4 linked regions of the Styela clava genome follow. The protein of the gene in region 4 binds, or shares a complex with, the protein of the main gene of each other region. Links are inferred from orthologs where the notes say so. Each region holds a gene or a part of one and is shown on either strand. Other genes may lie near its edges. The genes, in order: splicing factor 3B subunit 2-like, crooked neck-like protein 1, cysteine-rich PDZ-binding protein-like and G-patch domain and KOW motifs-containing protein-like.

Evidence for each region.
Region 1: G-patch domain and KOW motifs-containing protein-like (region 4) and splicing factor 3B subunit 2-like share a complex: the UniProt entries of both Homo sapiens proteins name them as parts of the minor spliceosome. The link is inferred for Styela clava from reciprocal best matches to the Homo sapiens genes GPKOW and SF3B2.
Region 2: G-patch domain and KOW motifs-containing protein-like (region 4) and crooked neck-like protein 1 share a complex: the UniProt entries of both Homo sapiens proteins name them as parts of the minor spliceosome. The link is inferred for Styela clava from reciprocal best matches to the Homo sapiens genes GPKOW and CRNKL1.
Region 3: G-patch domain and KOW motifs-containing protein-like (region 4) and cysteine-rich PDZ-binding protein-like share a complex: the UniProt entries of both Homo sapiens proteins name them as parts of the minor spliceosome. The link is inferred for Styela clava from reciprocal best matches to the Homo sapiens genes GPKOW and CRIPT.

Annotation. Positions count from the first base shown.
Region 1 is NC_135251.1:20,765,493-20,773,511, forward strand, and holds the start of splicing factor 3B subunit 2-like, read right to left. Parts: upstream 3,006-8,019; 5' UTR 2,929-3,005; coding exon 2,757-2,928; intron 2,613-2,756; coding exon 2,557-2,612; intron 2,436-2,556; coding exon 2,024-2,435; intron 1,845-2,023; coding exon 1,669-1,844; intron 1,312-1,668; coding exon 1,208-1,311; intron 327-1,207; coding exon 66-326; intron 1-65. UniProt on the Homo sapiens protein: Component of the 17S U2 SnRNP complex of the spliceosome, a large ribonucleoprotein complex that removes introns from transcribed pre-mRNAs.
Region 2 is NC_135255.1:8,359,206-8,367,003, reverse strand, and holds the start of crooked neck-like protein 1, read right to left. Parts: upstream 3,015-7,798; 5' UTR 2,886-3,014; coding exon 2,835-2,885; intron 2,508-2,834; coding exon 2,418-2,507; intron 1,831-2,417; coding exon 1,768-1,830; intron 1,694-1,767; coding exon 1,602-1,693; intron 827-1,601; coding exon 668-826; intron 128-667; coding exon 34-127; intron 1-33. Other genes in the region: protein cereblon-like, read right to left, coding at 3,485-3,973; uncharacterized protein LOC120331723, read right to left, coding at 4,951-6,498. UniProt on the Homo sapiens protein: Involved in pre-mRNA splicing process. As a component of the minor spliceosome, involved in the splicing of U12-type introns in pre-mRNAs.
Region 3 is NC_135255.1:21,668,657-21,676,566, reverse strand, and holds the start of cysteine-rich PDZ-binding protein-like, read right to left. Parts: upstream 3,022-7,910; 5' UTR 2,900-3,021; coding exon 2,884-2,899; intron 2,427-2,883; coding exon 2,361-2,426; intron 1,058-2,360; coding exon 920-1,057; intron 1-919. Other genes in the region: general transcription factor 3C polypeptide 6-like, read right to left, coding at 3,737-4,297; serine/threonine-protein phosphatase 2A activator-like, read right to left, coding at 5,651-6,748. UniProt on the Homo sapiens protein: As a component of the minor spliceosome, involved in the splicing of U12-type introns in pre-mRNAs. Involved in the cytoskeletal anchoring of DLG4 in excitatory synapses.
Region 4 is NC_135251.1:15,497,564-15,504,621, reverse strand, and holds G-patch domain and KOW motifs-containing protein-like, read right to left. Parts: upstream 3,019-7,058; 5' UTR 2,474-3,018; coding exon 983-2,473; 3' UTR 434-982; downstream 1-433. Other genes in the region: uncharacterized protein LOC120335364, read right to left, coding at 1-102, 176-251. UniProt on the Homo sapiens protein: RNA-binding protein involved in pre-mRNA splicing. As a component of the minor spliceosome, involved in the splicing of U12-type introns in pre-mRNAs.

The sequences.
Region 1 (8,019 bases), about 5.3 Mb from region 4:
CCCCCCCTGGTGTATATTATCCAACATTAATTCCAACACATATGTAAAACCATTCAATAACCTACTCAATTTCAACATCTTTTTCTTGTTTCACTGCATCAATCTCTCCTTTCTCTGCGGGAGGTTGAGCATCTTTTGTTATCTCCTTCTCTTCTTTTTCTTTCTTCTTTTGTACATTTCTTCTCTTCTTCTTTTCTTTTTTCTTTCTGTTTTTGAGAGCTTTACGAGCTTGTTCAGCAACTTCTGATTTAGTAAGTGGGAGATTACCGGGTTTGGTATCTTCAACATACTGCTTCGTAATTTCTGCTTTTATTTCCTCGAGTCGCCTGAAAAAATATTAAAATATGAAAGTCTTGGAAGTAGCATTATTTAGTCACACAGAGGCATGCAGAAAGATTAACATTTTCTGTCTCCTTGCATGAAGTAACCTCGACCAGGGCTTTCCAAACTGGGGGTCGCGACCCCGCATGGTGGTGCGCATTGAATTTAAGGGTTCAAACCTATTTCACCAATTACACACAAAGTAGGCTACCATATCTATTGTACTTTTTTAGAATTTTGATTTGAAACACAATTATTAAAAACTGGTGCAAAACTTAAATTTCATGATTTCGAGAGAATACATAGGATCAAAAAAGCGACACGCTTATATAATAATGCAGGCTTTAATCGTAAGAACCGAGGAGCGGTGCGCTTGCGTAACAATGCCGACTTAACAGGGGTCACAGGAAATTTTCGCGAGCTCAAAAGTTTGGGTAGCCTAAGCCCCTGATCAAAATTTTCTCTCATTATATTGATTAAAAGTGATGGAGATTCTGGTTTTTGAAAATGTACTGGATTGTGAATTCAATATGAATTGTAGTGTATTTGCGATAATTGCATCACCATTTATCAAAAGTCAAGTCAAAATTTTGAATTTCTTGTAAGTCCAAATTCGGAATTCCAGACTTGATAATGGTTATAATTAAAGACAAAATTTTAGAAAGAAACTCAAATAAATTATGTTCAACACTGTCCTTAACATTCTGTTAATTAAGAAAGACCAAAGTTTTTAACAAAATAGGATTATCTCAAGTCTTAAATTTTCATTAACTTAGAGTCAAAATCGGGAGAATTTTTGAAATCTTGCAGGCGTCGCTGGTTGTAAAGTCCCAGACTTGTACATATCTTATAAAGACATTTTCAAACCAACAACATTTCTAAATACCTTTTTTGTTCAGACATTGTTGTTTCATTTGCTGGTTCTGTTGCTTTTTCGAGTTCCAATTTTCCTTCCATTGCCTTTTTGACTTCTTCATTCGAAACTCCAACCTATTTCAAATTAAATAGAAACTATTACAGGATATTTCGAGGTATAACAATGTAAACACAAATATATTTTTTGAAAGCAGGTTCAAATTCAACAGTAGTAGTAGTCGAACTTTTTCTAAGTTGAATTGGTTAAAGATCATATTAGTTAAAATGCTTTATATGGCTTCAATTCTGAACAAGCAGCCATTTCTAAGCAAGAAGGTCCTATTTTCGATAAGATCTTCCCAGTTTGGCAGTCTTTACCCAATTTATTAGTGACATGAATTTTAAACCCAGTTCTGGCCTGCAATGCCAACATTCTTACGTTCAATACTTTAACCACTATGTTATCTATTAAACAACACACAATAAAAATACCTCTTTTGCTCTTTCATCTTTGTAGGCAAGCATTTTTTCCAGTGCAGCTGGCAACCTGAAATCTCTTCCTTTTTTGCCTGATTTTTCATCTTCTTTCAACCTTCTTTCGAAATCCTTAGTTGGTTCCACACGACGTCCCATAAGAGGTTGGGGAGAACCACGTCGAGGAGCACGTTCTGATATTTATAAAAGGATTTGAAATAAAACTTGTATTCTTATATAAAATTTTCACTAATCTACCAATAAATACACACCAAGCACACAACACCAGTTAGCTTAGCTCCATATTATTATTCCATTATTCAATGACAGATTAACAAAAACTTCAGCAGCATATTACGACATAAATACATACCATCATACATCTCTGGTTCTCCTCTATACTCATCATGATTGTCAAATCCACTAGGTCCCGAAGGTCCCTCGAACCCGCCAGGTGGCCCATCAAATCCACCAGGGCCTGATGGACCTGACCCAGGGGGTCCATCAAAGCTACCAGGAGGCCCGTCAAAACCTCCAGGTGGGCCATCAAAACCACCAGGTGGGCCATCAAATCCACCAGGTGGACCATCAAAATGTCTCGGTGGCGGGCCATCAAAACTTCCTGGGGGACCATCAAAGCGATTCGGGGGCCCAGGTGGGCCATCAAAATTACCAGGAGGTCCAGATGGCCCGTCAAACCTATCACGAGGTGGCATGTTATTGAAGCGATCAGGGAAAGGAGGTCTATCAAATCCTCCAGGACCTCCTCGCATATCTTCACCATCCTGAAAATAAATTTATTTCTGAACAGATAGTGTTTCACTCTAAAATTATTACATCGTCAAAAAGAATGAATGAAAGTTATAGCAATATGACAAGTTGTAGTAAATCCAATTTGATACTTACATTTGGATGGGGTCTTCTGTTCATTCTGTCATTGAAGCCAATATTATCTGGTCCACCTGTAATTGGAAGAAAACTTGCTATTAAAATTATATATTCAATAGAATTCGCTAAACAAGGGTTGTTTTTTTGTTGATTTTTATTGTGCTATGTAATCGCAATCAACATTAATTACCAATTTAATTTGAAAAAAGAAATCTTACCTTGCATCATTGGACCCATATTCATCGGAAGTGGCACATTGTGACCCATCATATTTGTGGGCCCCGGAGGGGGTGGGGGTCCTGATGAGCCTCCCATCATAGGTGGTCCATGAGGCAATGATCCCATCATTGGAGGGGGTGGAGGGGGAGGTTGGATGTCATTGTTTGACATGGTTTATACAATGCTGTTGCTGCAAACTACTTTATGCCTCTACCTATCTACTTTATATAAATCTGTAAATCAAAGAAGATTGAGATAAATGGTTAAGCTGGGAAACTGTGATGCAAAAATTATGTTAGAGGAATTGTAGTCTTCACGTTCACTGCTTTTTTTAAATCCTGAAAAAAAAATTAAAGAAGGAATTCAATATTTTAAAACATTGGGTTTTCGGACTTTGTTTATTTGATTTCGGATTAATCTAATCCAGTAGGGGCACAGTTCTTCGATTCCAAGACACCTCGATACCCCCGACATTCAGTTCAATGAAGCGAACACTTTATTTGTCTCTGAAACGAGGTCATTGACTGTAAAAAAAAAAACTTTCTTGACTGTTTGACTTTCTTTTCATCCAAATTACAGAATTAACATAAATATTACTTATTTTATTTTATAAATACTCATTGTCTAAGACAGGGGTGTGCAACCTTCAATACAGTAGGGCCAGATAGTAATAACTACTGAACTAGGTGAAACCGTGGGTTGCACCTTAACATGGGCTATCTAGTAGCTGCAGGCACAAAAATTTTGGTTATTGATCTTGTGACATACATTGTTTGCACAAGCTAACTGTTAAGTCATGGAATAGATAATAAATTGGACTCAAGAATACTCGCACATACCATACCGGTATTGAATAAAATAAAAAACGTTTCGCGGGCCGCACATCATTAAAAATTGGCACTTCTCCGCGGGCCACACAATTTTTCCTAGAGGGCCGCATTTGGCACCCGGGCTGCAAGTTACACACTCCTGGTCCTGGTCTAAGATATCATCATCATGATTTTACTTTAGTACTTGTCTCAATACAAAAATAAAGTTTATCAACTTTTTGAACTCTAGCGGCATTGCAAGCTCATGATGATTGCCATAATTCTCTGGTCCTGCCAGCACTCAATTCATATGATCTATTAACACCATACAGCTGTACAGCCTTAACTTGCAGTACGGGTATTAACTTTTAAATGGGTCTTACTACTTACTGAATACAGTGCGAAACACCGCATAGAGCGCAAAACAGTGCAAAATAGCGCGAAACAGCGAAAAACAGAAGGAAACCAGCGCAAAACAGAGGGAAACAGCGGAAAACAGGAGACGCAGTCATTACCACCTCCTGCCACGAAAGAACCACGGCGCCTCTCGCCATGGTTTTATTGCGCTATTTCCGGTATATTTACAAGGTTATGTACCGGATTATAGGTCATCATGCGAAATTTTATCTACCTTTCTGGTGCTCCAGAAGTATGTGCAGCAATATGTCGCACAACCTGAATCCGCTACACACACACATACTATTTTCAGGTTGTGCGCCATCTTGGTGCACATACTTCTGGAGGTCCCTTTTTATCTAACCCTAACCCTAAAGCCAACCATATCCATATGAAAAATGTTCTAAATTATGGTACCCAAAATGTGTCTCAATAGCAGGGGCAGACCTGCCATTACAGCATTACTGGCTACATACGTTGGTTTGTGTTTTTAATTTGCTGCCGTGGTACTCCAACTCAAAACAAGGTGCCCCGAACTCATTGCAAAAAATTTTTCTGCTTCACACTGTTTCCCTCTGTTTTGCGCTCTTTCGCGCTGTTTTCCCACTGTTTTGCGCTGTTTCCCTCTGTTTTGCGCTGTTTTGCGGTGTTTCGCGCTGTATTCAGTAACTAGTAAGACCGCTTTTAAATTGCTGACTTCAGGAGTCAGGACTTACACATGTTGACTACATACTGTACCGTTCTGGTACCACTGTACCGGTATTTCCATTCTCGCATATAATGATCAACCAATTAGTATTGAAATTTTTTTTTTTCTGTTTTTGAATCAAATATATCTTTTAGTGTTGGCATTGTTTGTGATAATAAAATCCCTCTCTCTCTCTCTTTGCAGTGAAGGAACGAAAAGGGAAATAATGAGACGCAATTACAGAACTACGCAGAACTATAAAAAAAAAAAAAAAAGAGACGCAATGAACCCGTCCTCCTAAGCAGCAAGGATCTGGCGTTGCGCAGATCAAGTAATATCTGAATATACCTGTATAGTGTATACTGTATACCAAAGTGACTATCACTTTGCTGTATAGGCTACATAGCTTTTTTTTTTTTTTTTTGTGCCAAATAAATTCCAATGCCAAATGGAATTTTCGTATTAATATTTTGGTATCAAATCATTTTATTATAAATATATAAATTGATAGTTTTTTGTTTCCATGTTTTTGTTTATCGTTTTTCAATTTAATCCCATTCCCCCCAATACATCTGTACATAGGCTAAATAGTAAAAATAAAAATAAAGACAAAATTCATACCATTACCATGATGTCATTAATTTAATATAATCCAATATCTGAATATATGTCCAAAAAAGTTGAGTTAATCCCCATGTAATCTACTCAGCAGTTAGTTGAATATAATTTTAATTTACAGGTAATCTGTTTTTTTTTTTTTTGCTAGTTAGCATGAAAAATACAAGAATACAAAAATTAGACAGAGAATATGGAAAAATCCACGCTTTCATATTGGGTTTTTCCCATTCGCCATCTAGGCCTATGTTTCATAGTCGAAACCTCATCCTCTTTTGAGAATGATGTACAAATAACATACTTTCAATAATTTTCAGAGTATGGTGTTGCATATAAACTTACATCATGATTGACCTATGTAAAAGATCATCCATGCACCATGTGCTCATATAACAATAATTTCCACCTATTTCATCATATTTTACTGAATTTCGATATTCCCAAATTGTTGATTTTCCGCATATTATTGTGATTAATTTTGATTTGCATTCCGAATCGTTTGCTATAATAGTATTTTGATTAATATCTATGCAACACTACACTATGCAACACATACCGTATCTAGGCTACATAGCTATAAGCTAAGCGTGTATTATACGTCGACGTACATCAAAGTTTACTGAATATGGACCTTTCCCCGACCTTTGACCCCCAAAAAATTCTTCCCATACTCTACCATTGCAAAATTTTCGGGGCTATTTTAAGAATGCTTTTGCGAGTTGGCGCCTGTAAAATAAGGTATGTTTTTCAAACCATCATTATGATTCATCGCATACAACAATCCGTTTTTTAAAAGTACCGGTGAAGAATTTTAGCCTAGTCTAGCACAGCTATTTCTACGCTGATTTTTTATTACTGCAATTAAATTAAAACTCCTAGGAAGACAGAGTGATCAGAGCCATTATGCTCTGGAGTGATCATTGAAATATCTGATCCATACTTAAGTTTCCGAAACACAACTGAAAACTAACGAATAGAGTTCAAAAACGCGAAAACGAGGTGATGTTTACGACCACGCTTGAAAATCTGTCTGAGTGAGAAAAGTGTCCGAGCGGGCGTGAAAAGGGAACATTGTTACGTCACTTTTTGCATCTTGCTGATTGGCCAATGTCATGAAGTAAACAAGGAAGTCGATGCTTGAGGAAAGGTCCATAGTTCGTGCACAGTGGTTCGTGAGTCACTTCACAGTGGTTTCGCAGTTCGCTCACGGCCGGTTCGCCACGCATGACTGATGCGTTTCTACGTCGTCAGTTTGCGATACTTTGAAGCCTACCAATGAGCATATATACAATGAGTGGAAACTTGCAAAGATTTGCTCATTTTGGTATTGTTCCCTGCATTTTTACGTCGTCCAGCTAAATGGTTCGTTGCATATTAAGAAAACGCATTGCTCGCTGCCAAAATCCCTTGCTTCAGCCGAGTCGGGTGCGAAATTGGCCGTATTGAGGTCTGTAATTCTTCAATACATATTTGGTTTTGGGTTTCGAAGTATGGTACGCTGAAAGCATACAACTATGAGCATATGCTTATTGAGAATGCATATCTATTATTAGGCAGAAAACGTATCTACAGAACAGAATATGAACCAGTCGCCTAGAGGGGTGCGGTTATTTATGTATTTATTCATTGATATAACATGGGATTTACATATTTATCCATGGGAGAGGAAAGCCGAGAAGAATGCCTAAATATATGGCGAACCACGGCCTCTCACAATCATAGCTCTGTCCTCCATATGAATCACATGGCTCTGCGAGCTATTCGTTTACCTATTAAAAATACTGATTTTAACTATAAATTACTCTGGGATATCTTGCCTTTGAAAACAAAAGCCAGAAATTGGAAGAAAATCAGGGAATGAAACGTGTGTATTATGTAATGGAGAACCTGAGTTTGTTTCACATATTTTCATGTATTGTAAATTACAAAAAATATTTATGAAGAATTTGTTTTAGATATATTAAAATTGATTAGAATACATTTTGTTATCAATATGATTCTTGCATATCATTTAATTTTAACGATCCTTTATATAGTCATAAAGATACTGTTGATTTGGATGCAATTATACTTTTGTTATCAATAGTGAGAAATATTTCAGGACTGCTATTAACTATGTGAGCTATTTTTTCTGCAATTCAAAATACATCTTGCGTCTGCTATTTACTATGTGAATTAATTTTTCTGCAATGTAAAGTATTTCCATAACTGCTTTTACTATGTGGGCTGTTTTTTCGGTACTCTTGTAGTATGTGTACCAGGTTAGGTTACGATTCTCCTTATTTTTGTTCTATTAAAAGTTCGGGAATTGTCTGTGTTACACAAGTGAATATCCCCTACCGATAGAATTTAGTCCATTTACACAACTTGATATAAAATAGGCGAACAAAATTAGTTACCTTCATATTGGTACACATACTTCTGGAGCACCATTTTTTTGTAATGTAAAATATTTAATATGTGAACTAATTTTTTTGGAATGCAAAATATTTTCTACAGCTTCTGTATTTTTCATATGTCACTTTTCATTTCATCGAAAATACACATGGTCTGGCACATTGTTCATTCTTTTTGGAGATTTTGGTAAATTTACAGATGGAATAAGACCGACATTCAGCTTTTTTCTGTTTTACAACTGTAATACAAATTGAAGTATGTAAACCCAGTTGGTAGACACCGGAACCATGTGTACCAGGTTAGGGTCTACTACATACAAGCATTCCCAAACTTTTCAAGCCGCACCCCCTTTTTAGA
Region 2 (7,798 bases), on a different chromosome or scaffold from region 4:
TCATTATTAAAAAATAATTCAACCAATTTAAACCTGTTCATGTGGTTCCCATTCCATCCATCTCTCAAAAACCTGTCGACAAGCTGGAATATTGCCAAGCATTTCTTCCATGTATGTATATTTGTACCTGAAAAATATTATCACATGATCTAATAAAAAATTAATATTCAATTAAGAGAGACGGCTTACAAACTGAATTATATTTGCAAAGTAGAGTGATCTCAACATCACATTTCATCGCCACGACAGTTAATTGCAGAAGGCAACAATGGTATTTTTGGTCATCTGGGTGTATATCAATCATTTAATTGATTTGTGTATTTGGTTATATTAAGATTTTTGTTCTGACAGTTAGACCTAAATTAGTTTGAACTTGTTTTGCTCCATTTGTTAATTCCATTTAGAATTAGAAGAAGTAGATAGCCTACTTAAGTTGATAATCTGTAAAAAAACTGCAGTTCAAACTCCAACCCACAAAGACAATTTTTTCTTTCCACTGACACAGAAGCCTCGTGTTTTTCAATAAATGCTTGCTTAAAACCATACTTGAGCATAGGTGTTAATAAACACGCCAAACACGCCAGAATATCAGATACGAAATTCACCAAAGACTGCAACATTCTTTTTTCTCCCTGATCAAAAAACTTAGATTGCCACGCACACATACCATAATTGATTTGCTCTTGGTAGAATAGTGACTGCTCTATCCCAAACGTTTCTTGCATGATTTATTTGTTTGTTTTTCATTTCCATTTCTGCATATTTGTACCATAGTGTAAGATTTCGATATTCAACATCCAGAGCTCGTTCGTACACTGATCTTGCTCTGAAAAATAAGAGTGATTTAAAGAAAATATTATATTGTATATTGAAGCTGTCCTGAAAAGAACAGAAAATAAAGTAATCAATAATATAGGAGTGATCATTTATTCAATTCGGCAACTTGCGAAGTGCACATACCTGAGAAAACAAATATCATGGGAGGTAACTAGAACAAGTTATAAACTTATGAATCTTGAAAAAACTGCTTCGAATAGTTTGATCATACATCTTACAGTATTTGTTATGAGTTTTCACTCGAGCGCCAATCAAAATTATATTGATGATTGAGGAACACAGATATCGAGATATAGGATATTTTCATTGCTTTAAAATCCATACTTTTTACATAAATGGGGGCTTCTGCAACAAGAAAAAATCCTCCAAAGCAGGGGTTCCCAACCTTTTTTTCAGGACGACCCCAAAGACAACTTTCAAGTGTCCAGTGCGACCCCAGGTCAATATATATATATTTTTCATGAAACTTTAGAGCTTCTTTCACTGGACTTTTGAGTTTGGTCATGTGGTGGTATTAAGGAAAATAAGCTGAAACCCAACAGTGATGTCACAATAAACACCTACATTTTCAATAACAAAAGCATAGAGTGATGCCTATGTGCCTGTTTTACATTGAGCCATGATACAAACTGCTAAATTTAACATGGTTTGTCAAATCTTAGATGAGTTGTACCTAGTTGCGACCCTACCTATTTATCACTCCGACCCAATTTGGGGTCGCGACCCCTGGTTTGGGAACCCCTGCTCTAAAGGAAGACAAATACCTCTGGATTTCTTTCATGTTATCCTCGAATGCAGCGTACTTCATCCATGTGGATATGTGGGCTCTGTTCTTTCGTAAATTATCTTCAAAAGCCTGAAATTATACAAAAATTAATTTAAATATCCCAAGACACTTCTGTATAAACAGACAATTTGAAGAGATTATACTTTTCTTCTTCTGAGTTTATATTCATCAAGTTCATCTGGATCTGAGATCTTCTGTCTTGGAGGCTAAAATGTAAATCATATTTAAATAAGAAAGAAAGGTTCGTTATATAGACAGTGATAGACACAAATGTCAGAGGGCATGCGATTGCGTTCCCATATAATATATAGTGTTCCGATGGAATAAAAGAAATCAGCAGCGTTTAATTCAGGCAGGGTTGAACAATTATTTTTGCCATGGAGCCATATTGCAATTTCAAATTTTATTACACATTCAAATAATACAAATGTTACTTTTAATTAGAAGAGTGTTTTCCCTGTAGCGCTTCAACAATTCCTTTAATATCAGGTTCAATGGCACACTGGGTAGCGCAGAGTCGACTATCCTAACGATATCCTGCTGTGTTAGCACACAGCTCAAAGTGCTGCAACTTGCCCAGGCCTGATTTAAGGTGAACTATCGGACCATCGGACTGAAGTACCGTAATTGCCTCTAACGACTTCTTCCATATTTTAAGTATTGAAAATTTGAAATCCATTGCCAAAAGCAATATTTTAACAAAACCAATTTGTCAAACAATCCATATGTATATTTCAAGTCCAATAATGAAAATCAGATAACAAAATTTCACAAATTTGGGTTTTAAACTTACAGGAGCAACATTCTCTAATTCCCTTTCTTTTGCTTCTCGAAGAAGTTGTTCAGCAGTGATTTGCACAGGAGCTGGAGCTTTGTTCTTCACCTGAGATCGAATAATGGGTATACATAAAATAGCCATGAATTTATAGGTTATGAAAACTGCACATATTAAAAAAATGTGACTTTTATAGACAACTCGGATTCATAAATTCTCTTCAGCTCAGCCATAAAACATAATACAAATTAATCATTGGATAATTTTATGGTCGAAAACGAAAAATACACACAAATTTTAAAAATAAACACTTGTTAACTAATATTTTTATGACATGTTTTAAACCCTGCATAACAAGGCTCTGAACAACCAGTCAATAATATAAGCAACTTCAAACCAAGCTATGCCGTTTCCTTTGATTAAAAAATATGTTACCTTGGCCACTTTGGGCATTTTCTGTTTTCCACCCATTGTTGGTTCATGCATTTTGACTTTAGATTGATGATTGAACTTAGATTTCAACAAAATAATACTATTGGATGCTCGTAATATAATTAGATATACGGTAAACCAAAAGAGAGAATCCGAACGTTAATTTTAATTGATTGCACTGAAAAAAAGGTCGGTTGGGCGATAAAAGGAAAACACAATCGGAAAACATTTAAACCTCGGAAAATTTCATTATTTTTCTAACTTCAGACAGAAAAATGATTTAGTTACAATAAATATATATAACAGTGAGTCAGTTATTCAATATCAAATAAAGATAAATAATAAAGGCAGTATTTTGTACCATATAAAATAAGTTTATATGATCATGAAATTTTATTGTTTTAAAATGAAAATGATATTTTAACACTTTCCTTTCGACTAAAATTCTTCAAGAAGTATATCAATTTCATATGCAAGGTGTCTTGCCTAGTTATTCGATTTTTGAAGAGGCTGAAAATTTTTTTAAATGGCAAGAAATACTATACTACTATATTGTAGCACTATATCATTTCAAACTTCATGTTTGAAATAGACACCATCCTGCCATCTGTATTGCCCGACATAATTTTATCAGATGACCTAAGAACTTATTATCATCTTGCATTCGGATGCTGAATAATGACCAGAGAATCAGAATCAATATCTTGAATAATATGATCCATAATAAGTCCGTAAAATTTATCATTTTCTGTGAATGTCATGTGATTAAAATTCACTGGTTGATATTTCCAACCTAAGAAAAAATTACATCTTGAACAAGCAGAAATTCTCCATGAATATCCAGGAAACCAAGTCGCTTCTGTATGTGCGTCTTCATTTGATGTTACAGAGGCTTCAGAAAAAGTTACAACTTCAAATTGAGCACCTTGTGGATTTTCAAATTTTTGTGTAGTTATATGTGGCTTTCCTAAAATTGTTTTGTTCCACCTTTGAAGTGCAAGTTTACTTGGAATGGAAACAAGATCTTCAGCTTGAGCCACAGTTTCACCACATCGTTTGCATATGAACTTGCCAGTTTGGGTACGATGACTTAAGCCAAGTGAAGTCACATACATAATTACAACAAAATAAAAGTTCCACATATTCACAATACAGTGTATCTAGTGTTTCCACTACGACTTAATGCCACAACAGTAAGTTTTACCTGAAATCATACAAAGAATATAGGAAATCTACTAAGTATTTGCAATGTAATTGGCTACGACCAAAATACAATAATTTAATTCATTCATTTGTATGTAAGTTAGACCTTCTGTTATTTATGATTGAGTAAAAAAGCCTCAATAGTATTGCGAAAAGGGACAGGACTGCGAAGAGATTATAGCTTAATCATAAAGACCATTGTGCAAAAAAGTTGCTCTGATGTGGGGAAAATAAAATATAATTTTCTTAACCAAATAATTTGATTTAAATCAGAAATTTTTCCTAGAATTGATCCAAGTGGTTTTCTTCTGGAGCTCCAGCTACATATTTCATTTTGGATAGGCAATGTCAAAGGTCACGTCCCAAACAAATTGGTTCTATATGATAAGGAATACAGGAATAGTTATGTCGGCACATCCCACAGCAGCATTAAATCACCCACCAAAGTTACTTTAGCCTACAATATCATGGCGATCAGAGGTTTAAACATGCATATATTTATGGCAGTTTCAACAAGCATACCTAATGAAATTAGTTATGGGGCTAATAACATGATCTTTAACATCAAAACCAATCTCCACAATCAAATGTGCCACGGTAAACTACACTAAGAACTTGGGTAACCAGAATTGTGGGGTAGCTTAATACAAATTGTAAAAAATTAAAATTGACTGCTTGAGATAAATTTATCAACATGCAAAAGAATTATAGTCAACATTTTAGAAAGCCAAGTGATATATATATTTAATATAGCCAAGTCATATGAGGAATAAGCTCAATATTTAGTGTTCCCATCCTAAGTTAATACAGTGTGGGGACTGGGGAATGTTTCAATTTCATCTGCATTTCTGCATGATTATACTGTTTTCATCTGTGATCACTAAAATGTTTTTCAGATATGAAACAGCAAAACTTTTTAACATTGCAACAGGAAATCTTCCAATTTTCTTGGTAAATTTAAGCAGGTAATATGTTTGGAACAAATGAGGCCTTTGACTTTAATTATATAGCAGCGTATCACCCATCTGGTTAAATCAACCAAGGATGGAACATTTTGAACTAGAATTCCATGCAGAAGATCATCAACATTTGCAACCACCAATGGCAATGAACTATTATGTGAAATCGATAAAAATGGAAAATATCTCAAACAAAGTGATATTTTGGATAGATTTCTCAGATAATGCGGATACCGACTATTTAGGATTAAGCGATCTTGTAAAACTTTATGTCCGCTGATTGAATATGATAAGTTAGGAAATGTTTCACAGTTGAATCGTAATTCCAGTAGTCCTGCATTCAAAAACTCATTTAGGACCACAATATTAACGTCATTAAATCTCATGGGCAAAATAAAATATTTAAAATACAAATGTTCTTCCCTTCTCGCAAGATCCGAAAATAAAGTATCATTTTCAATAAGTATTTTAACAGTACTTGAGAAACTTTCAAAACCATTGTTGTGGCCTAATAAAATATCCCATACGCTTTCACCTGCAATTTTAATATCCGAATGGAAAGTTGAATATCCTTTTCTGAATAAATATAATAAACAATCATTGTGCCTATTAAAAGCACTCAAAATAACTGCAGAAATACAACAATCTTTCGGAGTAATTTTTGCAAGCAATTTAACAACGGGAAAATGTCCTTTTTCAGCTGCTACTGTTAATGGAAAACTTTTTAAGCCCATATGATCAATATACATGCACTTTAATGGATCAGCACCTTTGTTTAACAGCAACCGTACTATATTTTCATTTCCATTTTGCGCAGCTAAATATAAGGGCGTACAATCTGTGATATCAGTTGCATTCACATCCTTAACTTCATTGATCAAAAGTTTCACAATCTCTTCATTTTCAATAGAAACTGCCACATGTAATGGTGTCTTCAAGTCATCTGAATCTTGCACATTTACATCAGCCCCATTTTGTATTAAAAATTTTGTTGCTTGAATATTTTCTTTTTCAACAATTACATGTATTGGATAATCACCACTTCGGGAATCCTTCATGTTAACATGCATTGGGAATTCATCAACTAGAATTTCAATACATTTATTATGCCCATTTTTGCAGGATTCATGGAGAGGATATCCCATTTTGTCAATTCCCAATTCCGATTCTTTGTACAAGCTCATGAGATGTTTAACAACTTCAACATGGCCTTCACTAGAAGCAATAGATAACGGTGTTTCTCCATCAAAAGCAGGTGGGAATACACAATCCAAAATCTCTCTGGTAGATTCGCAATCTGACATTGCCGTTTCCAAAAGTATTTTAACACACTCGATATGACCGCCAAATGCTGCTTCATGCATAGGATACCATCCCCTGTTATCTTTGATCGTGTAATCCAACCCCTTCATCAAAAGTTCATGCAAAACTTGAGAGTTTCCTGCCCTGGATGCTGCTCCAATGCTTGAACAGGCATCTGGGTATGCAGATGCAAACACATCCATATGACTTTATAAAATGATTGCTGCAAAGGTATATGGAACCCTGAATATACATATATGTTGCAGATTTAATCATGTGGTGGTGAAGCCTAAGTGTAAATGAAACTTCTTCATAGTTGATCAAAAAATAATGGAAGGCTGAAATTTAAGAAAACAAATTGAAATTTTTTGATTTTACTGGTATAGCATAAATTTGATACAAAACAAAATTGCAGTATTTAAATAAAAAAGGATGGATTTTTCAGAATAAATCAATCACAAAATTCATACATGCTGAATCATTTACAGATAGAGTTGGGGTATATGCTTGCAGATTTTAATCCAAAAATTATTTTTTTGATTGTTTGTATGAGTGCCCTGTCACTCAATTTTTGCATATATCAATCCCAACCCCCACCTGACTGCGTTATCCGAAAATTATGTTACTACAACGTCACAGTGACATAATAAAGCCCTTCAGACTATATGAACTGTCATCAAAGACGCGCAGACAATCACCCAAAATCGAGCAAGCTATTTCTCGTCACAGTGCCCGCAGTGATTCCAATATGAGAGAAGTAGTAAGTTCTTTATCGTCGGCACAGATGTCATTTCAGGCGATCATATGTATACTTTGGCAAGCTCTATGACATGATTGTGATGGCGTAGTGATGTGATTTTTGGATGGCGAAGTCAGGAAGTCAAAAATCGTTATGCTACGCCCACTAGAAGTACTTGAGGTAGGAAAATACCTGAGACCCTGTTCATTGTTTTGTTCGAGAATATGTGAGACGATACGTCTACATACTGACATAATGCAGTAATGTGTAATGCTGCAATGTGTAAGTTAATGATCTCCTATTCTTATAAAACTGTAATATTACTCTCTTTTCAGCTTTTATAATCTCAGAATCTCTTACTGTTGTACTGTCTTATAAAATTTATGCTTACTGGCAAACTGGATTAGGTAGCCTACCACAATTGTTCAGGTTGGATGAGGTTTGTTTTCTTTCTTCTTCGAACTGTCAAGTCAATGCTCAAGGCTAGTAAATGTGTTTAAAAACTCATTTTAGCTTTTGCTCAGTTCAAACAGTCAAAAATTCTTCGCTTTTATCCAGTTATCTTATTCGTGTAATGTTTTATCTTTGTGAACAAATCCATGGATAGATTCGGTAGATAGTTTATTCGAACACTCCATACTGCCATAATACTATAATATACACAAATTTAAAGTGGAGAATTCTGGAAATTATTTTGATTAAATAACTACCTAGTAACTATATACTATACTGCTATAACTGGTACTGAACTACAGAATTACGGT
Region 3 (7,910 bases), on a different chromosome or scaffold from region 4:
AAACTAGAAAAATGGACTTAGCCCAATTTGGATTTCATGCGTCGATATAGGGTGTCCATAAAACACTTTTATAATTCCAATTTTGTGATGAAGTCAGTTCTCAATATATCTTCACCAGGTTTGTTGTGTTTTAATCAGTAATTGTTCAAGTATTTTTACTTCATTTAATACAGCTGTGAGGAACAAAACAATATATGGTATATCCTAGAATCTACTATTAATAATAGGTGTTGGAGAAGAATGTTTGAAGTTTGACCTCCAAGAATATTATAAAAGACTCAAGTCAGGGATGTCCAAAGAAAATCGAATATTCGAATAAATTTAAGGTTTATAAATGAAGTTTCACAGCATAACCTAGAAGGCATCTATTTGAATGGAAATTGCAAAAATCAATCAAATCATTGTTTATATTTGCATTGGGTTGCGCGAGACTAACTTCCTATCTTTCTTCTATGCCTTTATGCTAGTGGATCCGTATGCGTATATTTCAAGGATGCTATAGCTGGAATAAACATGACTATTCTATCCAATTAATGCGTCTTGCTGCACACTTACACAAATGTATTTCTGTAACCTTCGTCCGACCAAACTCAGACATCCTCAGACAAGCAGTTTACAACAATTGATTGTTGTTACAGAAATACATTTGTGTTAGTGTGCAGCTGGACTCTTCAGTTAGATAAAATTGTTTATATGCCTGCATTTTCAAATTTCAATTCATTGAAAATATGTAGGCTACTATCGATTTTACCGGTTCTGCCAGACCGGCTACTTATCCTTCTTTTATGCTTTTGTGCTGGCGGATCCGTATGCATATAATGCAAATATGTTGTAGCAAGAGGGAAGATGACTATCCTAAGTGGTTCAAGAGGGTTGCCCCTTACCATAAGTTGGAAGAGGGGAATGGGAATTACCTTACCTTGACAAAAATTAGAGCCAACTTGATGAACTTGTAATTTGCATATCCGACATTTTTTAAACTTTCCGCTGCTGTACGGATTGTATCGATTCTTCGTCCCAGTCAAAGCTTTGTTTTCATTGATCTTACGTCCCCCCTCTGTGAAATAGGATAGGATTTACATATTTATCCCGGGGGAGAGGAAAGCCGATAAGACGGCTTATCCATATGGCAAACCACGGCCTCTCGTCCGGTTACCATTCCAAGTCAGGTATGTGATTAGTTATATTGTTTGTTTTCGGAGGCATGGACTTGGTGGTGGAGGAAGTCGTAACCGACCGACCAGCGGTTACGTGAACCACCCAACGACAGCGAGGAGTCCAGCAATCCGCTCGCACATAACCATCCCTGCATGAGATTCGAACCTGCGAACCCACGTAGAGTAATTAGAGGTGCAGTGGCGAGCGTATTCCTAACGCTTAGCCCGTTGAGCCACACCGTCGAGCCTGAAAATACTTTATTTGCCCATCTCTGTAGAAAAAACAACATCCTCCATAAACTGTACGTTGGGCGCTCTGGAAGTATGCAAACCAAGATGACGCACAACCTGAACCTTAACCTGGTACATATACTAATTTCAGGTTGTGCGCCATCTTGGTAGACATATGTCGAGTGCACCGTATATTCATACTATGTAGACCAGTGGTTCCCAAGGTTTCTTATTATATTTCTTCCATGGCCTATTTTGCATCTGTATTGCAATTCACAACAATACTAAATAAGTAAACAACACGAGAATATCGGTCAGAGACCGAAGACTCATCGATCGAAAGTTAGAGGATCCCCCAAAACAGCGCTCTTACTCCACAGTGACACCTTGTGTCTCATCACTAATTAATTAATAACTCGCTAAATATACGACATAATTCATCCAAAATCAATAGGCTTTGATCCGAGATATGAATGCATATGCAAAATTTGGAGCGGATTCATCCTTGCTTTCGTGAGATATCGCGTGTATCTAACAGACAAACAAAACAAACAGACAAATACCTATCAACATACTTACCGATCTTAAGATCGATAAGTAATAAGTTAAGCTACACCAAATACAAAGTATTTATGTACCCCCTAAACAACAAAATTTTTTACCGGTTAGCAAAGGTTGCCACTTGTCATCTAAATTCCTATGCTAAACCCCTAAAATTTGCTACGCTATAGCAATCCTGGGTGATGCGATGGTTTAACGAACAAAACGACAGATTAACTGCATCGACACTGCAGGTCGAACATCTCTGGTTCCCTCGCCCACGCCCCACACCCAGTGTCTGATAAATTGGGTAGGTAATGACAAAGCGGAAATATCCTGGTCCTTCCAAATAAATAGTAGCCTTTACACAGTAATGGCTGCTTGTATTAGACCATGTTCAGGTCAAAAGACGTCTTATAAAAACATTCCTACCGTTTGTATTCTTGGCTCCAGTTTTCCATGGATCAGGTGTCGCCACTGTTCCCAGTTTTTTCTGACCTGTGAATAGAATATACCAAGTTTAACCACGACGGTTAATTTCAAAGGAATCTGAGAAGAATGGTAATCCTTTCTCAAGATTGTTTCAGATTAGTTGCAAGAAGAAGAAGCTATTTATGTTGACGTTCCCTGTTCGATAAGAAATTTTTCTCTAAGAAAAAATTTTGCAGTTCTTGGAGAGGAATTTTGTTCTCCATGTAGTGTCACTTATTTTTTTAGCATAGGATAGGATTTAGATATTCATATCAGCAGAGAGAAAAGCTGATAAGACGACTTGATCATATGGCGAACCCCGACCTCTCGTTCGTTTACCAGTCTGTGTCGGGTATGGTATCTGTTTTCAGAAGCACGGGCTTGATGTGCAATTTGCTATACCAACACTGCGTTGGCAAAACAGTCTTATTACTTTCACCAGATGAGACAATCTCGCCATTGAAAACAATAATAAAATACTTACATTTATCGCAAACCATTGCTGTCCAGTCGTTCAATCTATTCTGTCCAGGAAAATTGTCCCCTAAGTAAGACAGCAGATAATATTGAAGAATTCAAAAGTATTAACTAGAGTAGTTAAGATTAAAATCTAAAAAAAAGAAACAAGAAATAATTTAAAAAACGAAATCCAAAGATCATGAGTCTATAACAATGTGACCAAAATATTCTAAAACCCTTGCTGGACTGGTAACCAGTGCTATGGACTGAAGAGTCAAGACAATATTTATCAGAGATTACAAGTAACCCAACTCATCTAAAAGAAATCAGTGATTGATTCGACTTGGATGACTCAACCTGACGCACATGTTTAGGCATATGTATATTCATAATAATTCAACTATACGGCTTCGGCCGCATTCGTGCGCTCCCCTCTCCCAGCCCGCGAATATCCTTCCGCTTCGTTCAATCAACTTTGGAGCGCTTGGGAGACTTCTACCTAACTATTAGTCAGACCCCTATATCAACACTTTGCACGTTTCATATGTCATTTCACACATTGCACTTTGAACAATACTCAATAACAATATAAAGGGGTCACTGATTCGTAAAATAACTAAAATTTTTAGAAAGACCAGAATAAGTGAATTTGGCATCCAATGAAAAATAAATGGCTGAGTTATTTAAAAATAGGGCAATTTCATTGGAAGTTAATCATCGGACGAATTTGAGTACAATTTTAAAAAATGTGATGCAATAATACCATGAATGCCATAATACAAAACCATGACAACATAATACAAATCAAAGGATGAAAAAGAGTCCATATCTCCCCCCAGGAAAAAATTGAAAATAGCAAATATGGGGGAAAACCCTAATCATTGAGATTCACTTTTTTCATCTACCGTCTTGTCTACTAACAAGGCCCTATACATTGAAATCTTTTTTTCTGTGTGCGTTAAATAACGTAATTTAACTTTCTGTTTTCCTGGAGTCGGTGTCACGGTACGGAATGTGTCCTCATCCTCACTAGACTCCCCGTCGGAATAATATTCCTCAAAAAGTGCGTTGGTGCCAAACGTTTCTGTCGGTTCACCCATAAAAATAAGTTCATCCAATTGTAGAAACATTTTTCCATTTTCATCAAATAATCCGATAAGTTTCACTCGATCTTTATCACATTTTTTGAGATAATTTTTACGCGCGACTCCATGCAATTCGATTAAACAATTGTCTTCTTCGACTAATTCCCATTCATCAGGGTTGAAGTCTTCTCTGGGAAATGGTTTCTTCTTCCTGTGACCTTTCACCTCAGAGTCAGAGGTCAAGTCCATCTCATCTGTTCCTTCTGCCGTATTATCACCTTTCACATCAGGGTCAGAGGTCGTGCCATTTCCATCTGACCCTTCTGCCATTGAAGAGTCTGTTATTTGGTCCATATTTCAAGATTTATGTTAAATTATAAATCTGAAATAATAAAACAATTAAAAACATTTATTCATTAATTAAAAGAAAGTAACCATAATATATAAATTAATAGGCCACAAGAACGATATTTAGACTTGATAGATAAAGGTACAAACAAACTGTTCGTACCGCTGATTTATGCTCGGGAGGATCGCTGGGCTCCACACTGCTAACTAGCATGTTTGAAAAGGAACGCTGTGTGCTGCCTAAGTGTTTGTATTTGGTGGTAACTGACTTAGATGATCGCGAATGGTCTTTTCGTTACCTACCAGTCATCAACCGAAAACTTTCGATTCTCTTATTTTATTATTATTTATATTTCTGTTCTCTAGTTTGATAAAAAATATGACTTCGCTCTCTCTCTCTTTCCACATTTAGTTGAAGGCCCAAAACTCTGTTTCGAGCAAACGTGCATACTAAGGACAAACAGTTGATGGCAAAAACATACAAAAGATTTCAAACGTCAAGAAGAGTTCAAAAAAATATGAAACATTCAAAATGACTCAACAGATCTGGAATAAAGAATAAATTACAGAAAAATATTAATCTAAAAAACTAATCCAAAAAGATGGAACCATAATTTTCCAATCACGATGAATACCCAAATCATTTTGTATTAAGTAAAAGTCAAAGTGAGAAAAGAATATTGCTTACATATATGGACATAGAAATTCTATACTCAAACTGCATAATCTCAATTGTTTGAACAAGGATGGATATATACCGTCCCAATCGACGTTTGAATTGCCTCCGTCACAGAGAGCCATTGATTGCTATATATTATATAGACAGCAGGTTAGGAATAGGGATAGATATATTGTCCCAACGACCATAGAGGGCTATTGGGCTGCCATAGAGACAGCAAGTTATGAACAGGGAAGGATACCAGTATGTGGTCCAAATTACCATTTAAATGGTTCTCCTTAGAGGGCTGTTGATTTACCATAGAGACAGCAGGGTAGAAATAAGGACGGATATAAGGTTCCACACAAGCTAATCAAGTGCAATGTTTTAAAAAATCCACTTCATTGCTCAAGTTCAACTTAATACAACGCTGTGGTTAACTTTGCCTGAATTCCCTGCCCTAGTAGTTTTTGTCTACGATTAGGTGAGCAAAAATATACGACATGCTATGTCCCAAACAGAAATAACTGATTAATAAGAAACAAATGACTCATTTCTTCAACGGGAAATGCTGTTCACAAAGCGTCTCAAATTTCCACTGTAATTTTTTAAAAACTGATTCGTTGTTCTATAACAGAGGTAGTTTTTAAGCTTTAATGTAAAGACTTGTCTTTTAAAAAGGTTTATTCCTTATTATTTCTTCAATTCAACTTTATACCAGGTTGTCTAGGACTCGGATCTAAAGTGAGTATGGATCCGAATTTGAAATGCTGAATAATCGGAAATTTCTGAAGTATTTCCGCCTTGTACATCTTCAATAGGCCGGAGTTGACTTTCCCCCAATGCGGGACGCCACTAATCCCCCAGAGAGTGTTTGAATGCTCAGCGAAAGGTCCCGTTTTTACGGACATGATATAATCAATGCATTCCATGAACATGTATTCTGATCGGTTTTCAGCGACAATTTTCGATTCTACAAAATGAACAGGTAGAATCGTGGGGTGACTGAAAAACTGCGACGACCCCCATATAAAGGGTAAAAATTGGAAATCATCTAACCCCCATACCCCTTGACTCCCTGCTGGCTCCATTCTGTAAGTCTTTTGCAACTTCCGAGCGACGTGTAAGTAACGATTAAAGACGTGAAAAACGGCCGCAAGTTTATCTTTTTCCCCCAGGATTTGGAGCTTAAAAAAACAACAAAGAAAACAAGCAAATGACATTTCGTGACCAGTTCCGTAATCAATTCTTGTGGAATTTCCGAAACCCCCGTGTAAATACTCCACAATTTCAGAAGCAGCTCTTTTTAAATTATCAGGCAAAAGGTCAGAGGTCAATTTTTCACCTTCTTCTTTTAACTTTTCATACCAAGTACGAAAAGCCTTGTTCCCGAATCTTTGCGGCTGGTCTATCGACGGCGTTTCATCAATCCATTTATCCAATAAATCCAAAAGTGCGACAATTTTTTTCGTCGTTTCAGACACTTCGCATGGAGCACTAAGCTTTTTACCTTTTATAGCTGCATTTAGCATCATTATAAATCCTAAATAGTCTTCATACCCGCTTGATTTTGTCCAAATTGCCATGTCCAAAACAGTTTTGATTTGCGTAAATGGAACTACAAATTTATGATCTTTAAATGGGTCATTTTCATCTGCTGTATCTTGATTTGCACCCCCACTTTCGCTTGTAGAGACTTCAACTTTTTCCTCTGCAACCTCTGGTTTAGTTTCTTCACAAATTTTCGGACTCTTGGATCCCTCTGCTGGCTCAGAATTTGCTTTATTATCGTCAGACATTATATCAGTTATTTTTAGATATTTGTTCTAATTAAGAATAAAAATTCTGGAAAAATAATTAAAATTCAATTGATTGATTGCATAATCAAAAATCAATTCATCAAAAATGAAGAAATAATTATCTTAAATCTACAACAAATTTTTTACGAGTTTGGCTCGACCTTTAGTAATGAAGATCATCTTTTTGGCTATTTGCAGGTTCTAATCAAGATTTAAAAGATAGGGCAAATGAAGAAATGTTTAGACCAGGGGTCGGGAACCTTTTTGGTCAAGAGAGCCATAAAATATACATATTTTCAATTGCATTTCCGTGCGAGCCATATAACATTTCTTCACTTGATCAGGCCTAAAATGTTTACTCAAAAGTCAACACATACAATGTCAATATACATTTAATGTGATTTCTGATGCTGCATGTAGTCGCTGCGGGCCTTGAACGGTTGCTCACATGCAGCCCAAGTTGAAATCTACGATTCTCATCACCCTTTTTCGTTTAGGCATCTCCGTAGTGTTTTTAAAACTCTATCGCTTTGTGATGTCACAATATATGTTCCAGAATCCCCTTGTTTGTCACAATGCCTGTCTGGCGATTATCTCACATAACATAGACATGTGCTGGGCGCGCGTTCTCAAACGTTTTGGGAATTTCCTGCCAAAATTGGCTATAAAAGAGTTTGAAATCTTGTAACAATAGTAAGCTTAGTCTTAGAATATTAGATTTTTCTGGGAGCCATATGCCGTCACCAAAAGAGCCATATATGGCTCGCGAGCCATGGGTTCCCGACCCCTGGTTTAGACCAATCAATCGGTACCCCCCGTAGTGTATGTGCCAGGTTAGGATTAGGCCTTAATTTTATTCCGATTTCCTTATTTTAGTTCTATTACAAGTTCAGCGACTGTCTGTGTTAGCCGAGTGCATAGGTTTCAGTCCTTTTACACAACTTGATGTGAAATAGGCGAACAATCTTAGTTACCTTCATATTGGTACACACACTTCTGGAGCGCCAATCAATCATCATAAACTTGTCAACAAAACGCACACTAATCATAAAAAAGGCAAATACCAAAAACCGATAATTACGCACACACAATTTTTTCTTACCAAAATTGGATTTTCTCATCTGTTAGGAGTCAAAATATTTACAGCCCGGAGTAAGGGGTC
Region 4 (7,058 bases):
TTTGGTGTTTTGGAGGCCTTGGATCCTGCCATGTAGTTGTTTGGTTTCTATGATCAATGAAAAAGGGCCATCCTGTTGCCTCGTCAATCCTCATTTCCCATCCTGATTCAAAACATTATCAAAGCTCAGGACCAGGAAATTTATGGTCAACATTAATAGAAAATTAAGGACATACCTGGAGGAAGTGGATCCATTGATATGTTTGGAGGTGGAGGGGGGTAGTAATTATTAGTCGGATGTGGATACGACATTTTTTTCGTCTGTTTGTACCTAGATATTGAGCTATTCACAGTGTGGTTCAGGCAAATATTGAGTCACTGCAGTGCAGGGTTGGTTAGTACTTCACTATCATTTGTGTTATTGATGAAGGTATATCCAATCAATTTAATGATGGAATGCTTATAAAAGCTAAAAATTATTACTACCCTATTACTGAAAAGACATCATTACAAAACATAAATATAAAAGTGCGATAGAAATTCCATTTTAATACAATTCATCATCTGCAATTGTTAGAAGCAACAATAAAGAGATATTATCACTTGCAGAATACTCGTATTGTCTATTTTTTGTCAAATTAGGAATCGAAAACCGTTCGTTCAACATTGGCAATACTTGGATGACTGATATAAAATTTCTGTGTGTGAACAGTATTTAGTCAATTTATTTTACCATGTTTTAGGAGATTAATTGATAATTATCGAAGCATAAATTTAGAAATCAAATCAGTTAGCAGAGTAGTAGTTTATATCAAAATCATATTATGATAAACTTGTTGATATAAGATTGTTTTTTATCCAAAGGCATCAGGTTATAGAAAATGAACAAAATTACAAATCGTATCTAAATTTATAAAACACATATCTAAATGATAAGGTTTTCGAATTCCAATAAAGGCATCCAAAATATATTGAAAACGCTGTAACATCTTACCATCAACCTAACGGCAAAATATAATTAATGCTTTTTATTTTGGGCAAAATTAAAACATCATACTGGCTTCAACATCGCCAGTATACTCGCACATTTCTTCAAAAGCAACCCGAACCACAACATCTCTATCTTCAATTAACTGAACCAGAGCTTCACAATTTGCTTTATCTTTTTCTAGAATTTTAGCAAGTTTCCCTGAATGTTTCGATTTGAATTTTGATTTCACTATAATTATATAAGAATCGGAAGCTGATTTTGGAATAACTGTTTCTAACATTGATTCTTCAATATCATCCAACAATCTACCATCTGTCGTTTTGCAGCAACAAAGTCCACCACCTAAAACATCTTCAATAATTACTTTTTCAAGATAGTATCTGCCTTTTTTGTACGATTTATCAACAATTCTGACTCTCATTTGAGGTTGTACCCAATGCGAGAGAGTAGAATTTGAGTCTTGTTTTGGAGAAATCTCTCTATTTGACTTATGTTTCTTTGATTTTTTATGTTTTGGTGGTGAATATTCTTTGTGTCTTCTTTTCCTTTTTTCTTTATGCTTCATATCTGTATCTTTTTGGTGTGACATAGCTCTGTCAGAACCTGGTGATTCTCGTCTTTTATCATTTTCCTCTGTATTTTTTCCATTACCTATTATAAGCATGTTATCCCCAGTATATGCTTTGCTAAGTCTACTTAAATCCTTCGCATTTTTATCATATTCCTTTTTTGTAACAACTCTAAGACAGTGTTGTCCAATTTGTTCAGATTTACCCCCTATTGCCATTTTGACAATACATCTTGCAGTCTCAATGTCTAGGCCCAAAATGACACCATATTTGTTTCTCAATGCGCCCCTGTGAATGAATACGTTAGCACCTTTTTCAAGTGCTAATTGATTTTCCTCTATATGAGTTTCATCTCGATTTGTAGTCTTAGTTGTATCAGCTTTTATTGGGGTAGCCACATCAGCACCAAGACCTAAACCTTTAGGCCTAACTTGCTGGTGCAACATTTCTGTGTTTTGTTTGAAAGTTCGGCCAATTCCCACTTCAGGTTTCCAACCCATCCCACGCAGTACTGCCATGCCAAATGCAGCCACAGGGATTTGATCATATTGGGCCTCTGATGCTTCATCAGGTCGCAATGATACATCTAGTTTATTATCAGTTTCATATCCCTCGGGCACCTTATTTTTCATAAGAAGTGGCACTGCAAGATTTTCAAAATCTTCTCCGTTTTGATCAGTATCTTCTAAAAATGTTTTAGATTCTGCAAGAATTTCTTTAGCTGCTTCCGCATCAATACTACTGATAACATTTTCTGCTGATGTCTTTTGTTTATTCACAGATGTTGGTATTTTATAAACATTTTGTTTAATTAGGGGTATAACCAAATCCCTTGGTGGTTCTTTCTGAAGTTTAGTTGATTTTATTACTTTTCCTTCTACGGTTTCAAGATAATCCGGCTCTTCATTTTTAGGCTTTTCAACATTCACAACCTTGGATTCTATTTTCTTCTTGAATCCAAAGGAAACTGACATTATGACAAACTCTAAAATATAGCAATAAGAATGGTTAATTTTCTAAGAAAATATAAAATTCAATTTTGCTGTTTGGTATTCACTTCATTCATTTTAAAGTTTACTGATTAACAGATTAAAGAAATAATAAGCAATCAAAAATCAATTTATACTTCAATTGTCTCAACTTCAACTGTCATTTCCTTAGATCTGTAGATTTTGACATATCAAAATGTGTTACCATACAGCCATAGCTTTTCAAGGTAATGTTCAGATGTCTGAGTGTAAAATGACAATAACTTGTACGACGAGTTCAAAATAGATTAGGCTATCTCGATCTGTGATGTGCAACCCCGCATGCGGCTCTCAAATACTCTTCCTGCTGTCCCGCTGCGGCTTTCATTATCCTTTAAAAATCATCATATTCAATGAAAGCTATTTTTATCTCAACCTGATACGGTACCGGTAGTTCAGTAATTTGCTCGTGATTTGAGCTTGGTCTGAAAGCTCAAAGATCGGCTTAGAATATTCTGAGAACTTCCATCGGTCGACTTCACTAACACATAATGTTAAATATGAATTCGATCCATAGCGCCATCACGCGACAGAATAAAGCAGTTGTGACAGGATACTGAGGAGTAAGAACGGAAAAGAACAATTTAGTGCAAGTGATGAGACGGATTAACAATATCGCGTACCACAGCGTCTCGTCCGATCACTAGTTCTTGTCGGGTGTGGGGTTAGATAGTCAGTTATTTGTTTCAGATGCATGGACTCGACGGGTGATGAAGCAGCCTCTACGAACCCACATAGGGTAATCGGAGGTATAACGATAAGTTTATTTCGACTCCATAATCAGCAACAGACGATAAAAAAATTGATAAAAACAAAATAATTAAAACTGATTATAGAATTGGAAAAGTAAACCAAACCTCAAGTAAGGTTTGAAGCGTACAGATTTTAGGTGGGAAGGTATTGATACAAGAAGTAGTGCGTGTTCGCTTACCCAAAAGGTGCTATTGTCACGGACTAAACACTAAAGTGTCCGTGTTTATATGGACCTTTCCCCGCCCTTTGACCCCCGTAAAATTCTTCCTATACTTTACCATTGCAAAATTTTCAGTGCTATTTTCGGAGTGCTTTTGCGAGTTAGCGCCTGTAAAATGGGGTATGTGTTTCAAACCATCATTATGCTTCATCGCACACAACAATCTGTTTTTTAAAAGTACCGGTAAAAAATTTCAGGCTAGTCTATCACAGCTATTTCTACACTAATTTTTATTACTGCAATTAAATTAAAACTTCTAGGAAGACAGAGTGGTCATTGAATTATCTGATTTTTATTTAAGTTTCCGAAACACAACTGAAAACAAACGAATAGGGTTCAAAAACGAGGTTTACAACCACGCTTGAAAATCTGTCTGAGTGAGAAAAGTGTCTGAGCGGATGGGAAAAGGGGGCATTGTTACGTCACTTTTTGCATCTTGCTGATTGGCCAATGTCACGAAGTAAACACGGAAGTCGATGCTCGGGGAAAGGTCCATTGTGTGTATATATTTTTTTTATGTTTATAGACTAGTATGTTTACCCTTGTTTAATGCTGTTTTGTCGGATCTGGACTCCGACCACTGACACGTAAGAAAAAAACTACCTATGTCTTTTCCCCTTTTTTCTGCGGCTGCTGCGCTGGCGGGCGGTCGTGTTTTTTAGTTCTTTAGTGATGTAATCTGTTATGCTGTTTTAAGTTTGATATTGGAGTTGCCGTGCAATAAACAACCAATCCTGAATTCTTGAGTCTTCTGATTCATCTACATTCTACAACCACAGAAGCAACATTTTTTTTACCGTGACACTATGACAAGTGAATGCGATGCGCCATCGGCCGCGCCGATCAGCCTGGCTTATTTAGACAAAAAATGAAATAAACCTACTCGATTTCGTTGAATCAATGAGCATATATGCTCATTGGTTGATTAAAGCGTGACATGCTTTTTTTTGTCTTTTGAATGCTGTTATTTGATATTACTGCTATATTTTGTGTTTTAACTTTGGAGACACCGAGACGCTACGGCACTGTCACTCTTTCTTTTGTTATCCTGTTAGAGAAGGCTGTGGATTGCAGTAATGTAGCTGCGGTTGTTTCAGTTAGATTTTTAGTGTTCTTGGGTCTTTTTAAGTCTGTAAAATTGTCCCTAGTTCTTAAATAGGTGACCTAATGTGTTTAAATCTGGATAGGCTTAGATATTGTTATGTTAGTCAATAGGATGATACCGGTATAGCAAAGGGTTCCACTGGAACATGTGATGAGGGGTTATGTTCAGGCCGGAACGACAACCGGATAAATTTGATTGATCGAAACATTTGGGCTCATTTTTGTACCATTTTAAGGCTATAGCCGAGTCTAATGGTTGGGATATATGTGGACACGATGGGGGAGTGAATTAGGCATTTGCATGGTAGGCAATGCTCTGAGTCATTGAATTGATTGTGAACGAACGTGAATGCTTTGAGGCTATCGTACGCCATTTTAAAAAGTATTTCGAAGTGAAGGGGGTATTGAAATGCTTCGAGCCGTTTTCGGTCAGTCCGCGAAGCTGGCAAGAGAAACCAATAATGAATTTGGCGGTGCATTGAAACAGCTAGCTAGTCGAGCTTATCCATAATTGAAGCCTTAGGATAAGGATTAAGAATGACTTGGCCAAATCGCAATTTTTGTGAAGGTTATACAAGTTTCATTTCCACATTGGCCTTTGCAATCCGCCATGTTGAAAGATGTAATGTCGTTGGCTACCAGATATTAAAGTTATGAAAGGCCATGGCAAGCCACAAAAGAGGGAACCAAATTTAAGCTACCGTAGCAACCGTAGCAATTTCTAACGATGAGATATTTGGGGCTGATATTACCAACGAGATCCCGTGTATCCCCAAGTTCCATTATCCCTTGTTTCAGATGCGGTCAAGTGGAACATAGAATCAGTGATTGTCGCAGACCACCAACTCTTACACCACCGTCTACGGCTCTAGGCCATGTCCCTACTATAAGCAAACGGGTCATTGGGCACGAGATTTTCCAAATCCAGTTTTCGGTGTGGACAACAGGGACACATATGCCCCCTGGCGCCAAGGTACAGGAGCGCCAAAATTTCACCGAAATTGGAGATTGCAGAATGCTGCTCAGTAACTGAAGGTCAACCAGAAACTCCTTTGGCTTTTCTTGGCTTTATTGTGTCTTTTGGTGACGACGTTTTCCCGAATCTGCGATTTTCTCCACAGATTTTGTTAACAATACCAGTTTCAATTGCATGCTGTGAACGGTCTTTCAGCAAATTGAAACTTATTTTGTCGTATTGGCGTGCATCAATGGGACATGATCGTCTCAGTGATCTAACACTTCTAAGTGTTGAGAAAGAAACATTGGAAAAAACAGATTTTGATGACGTGATTAACCAGTTTGCGACAGTGAAATCAAGAAAAATAAATTTATTGTAGACTATGTAAATCAACTTTGACAGTAACTGAGTGGGACATAATAGACATGTGCTATATTTTGTACAGCTTTACCTCTTCTTTAAATGAAATATTCCATTAAAATTTGAATTGTTTTTTCATATACAATTAAATGTAATAGAAAATATGATTGAACGTGGAGGTCGGAGCGCCAATTTTATAGTTTGCCCCGGGAGCAAAATATTCTGGCTACGCCTCTGCCCGGCGTCTTGGCTGGGCAAGGAGACAAATAGCGGAGGACACTGTTGACAAGATGCTTGAACAAGAAGTGATTGAGCTGAGTGATAGCCCGCACTCGTTACCAATTGTTCTGATACCTAAGAAAGATGGTAGTACGCGTTTTTGTATTGATTTTAGGCACCTAATTCAATTACCTACAGGTCCTACATAGATGGTTCCCCTTTAACTCGAATAGATGACATCGTGGGGTCATTTAGCGGATCAAGCTGGTTCTCAACACTTGACTTAGCTAGTGGATACTGCCAGGTAGAAGTTGATCTGCCTGGCAAAAAGAAAACCGTTTTCAGTCGGGAAATGTTGTTCAAATTATTTGGATGATGTTTTAGCCCACGAATGGGATTTTGACGCCTCATTGAGCAGTTTGAGGGAGATTTTCATTCGAGGTGCTGGTTTGAAACATAAGCCGACTAAACGCCAGTTGTGTTGGCAATCAGTTACCTACCTTGGATACAAAATTTCTTCCGAAGGAGTTTGCTGTGATCTTCCCAATGTAGCAACAATAGTCGAATGGGAAACGCCTCGAGTAATATCAGATCTTAGAAGTTTCTTGGAAACTGCCGACTATTATAGGCGTTTTGTATCTGGTTATGCCACCCTAGCATCTCCTCTGGTTCGTTGGATTAAAAAAACGTGAATTATGAGTGTCAGCTCATATTCTGGCTTTTCGTTTGGTTCAAGGGGAGTTTATTTTGGACACCGACGCGAGTATTACTGGTGCTGTTTTATCACAACTGCAAGGGGGGGGGGACATGCTTATTTCAGTAGGACTCTATCTAAGACGGAACGTCGGTATTGTACAACAGAGAGGGAGCTGTTGGCGATGGTTAAATCAGTACGTCATTTTCGCCATTATCTGTGG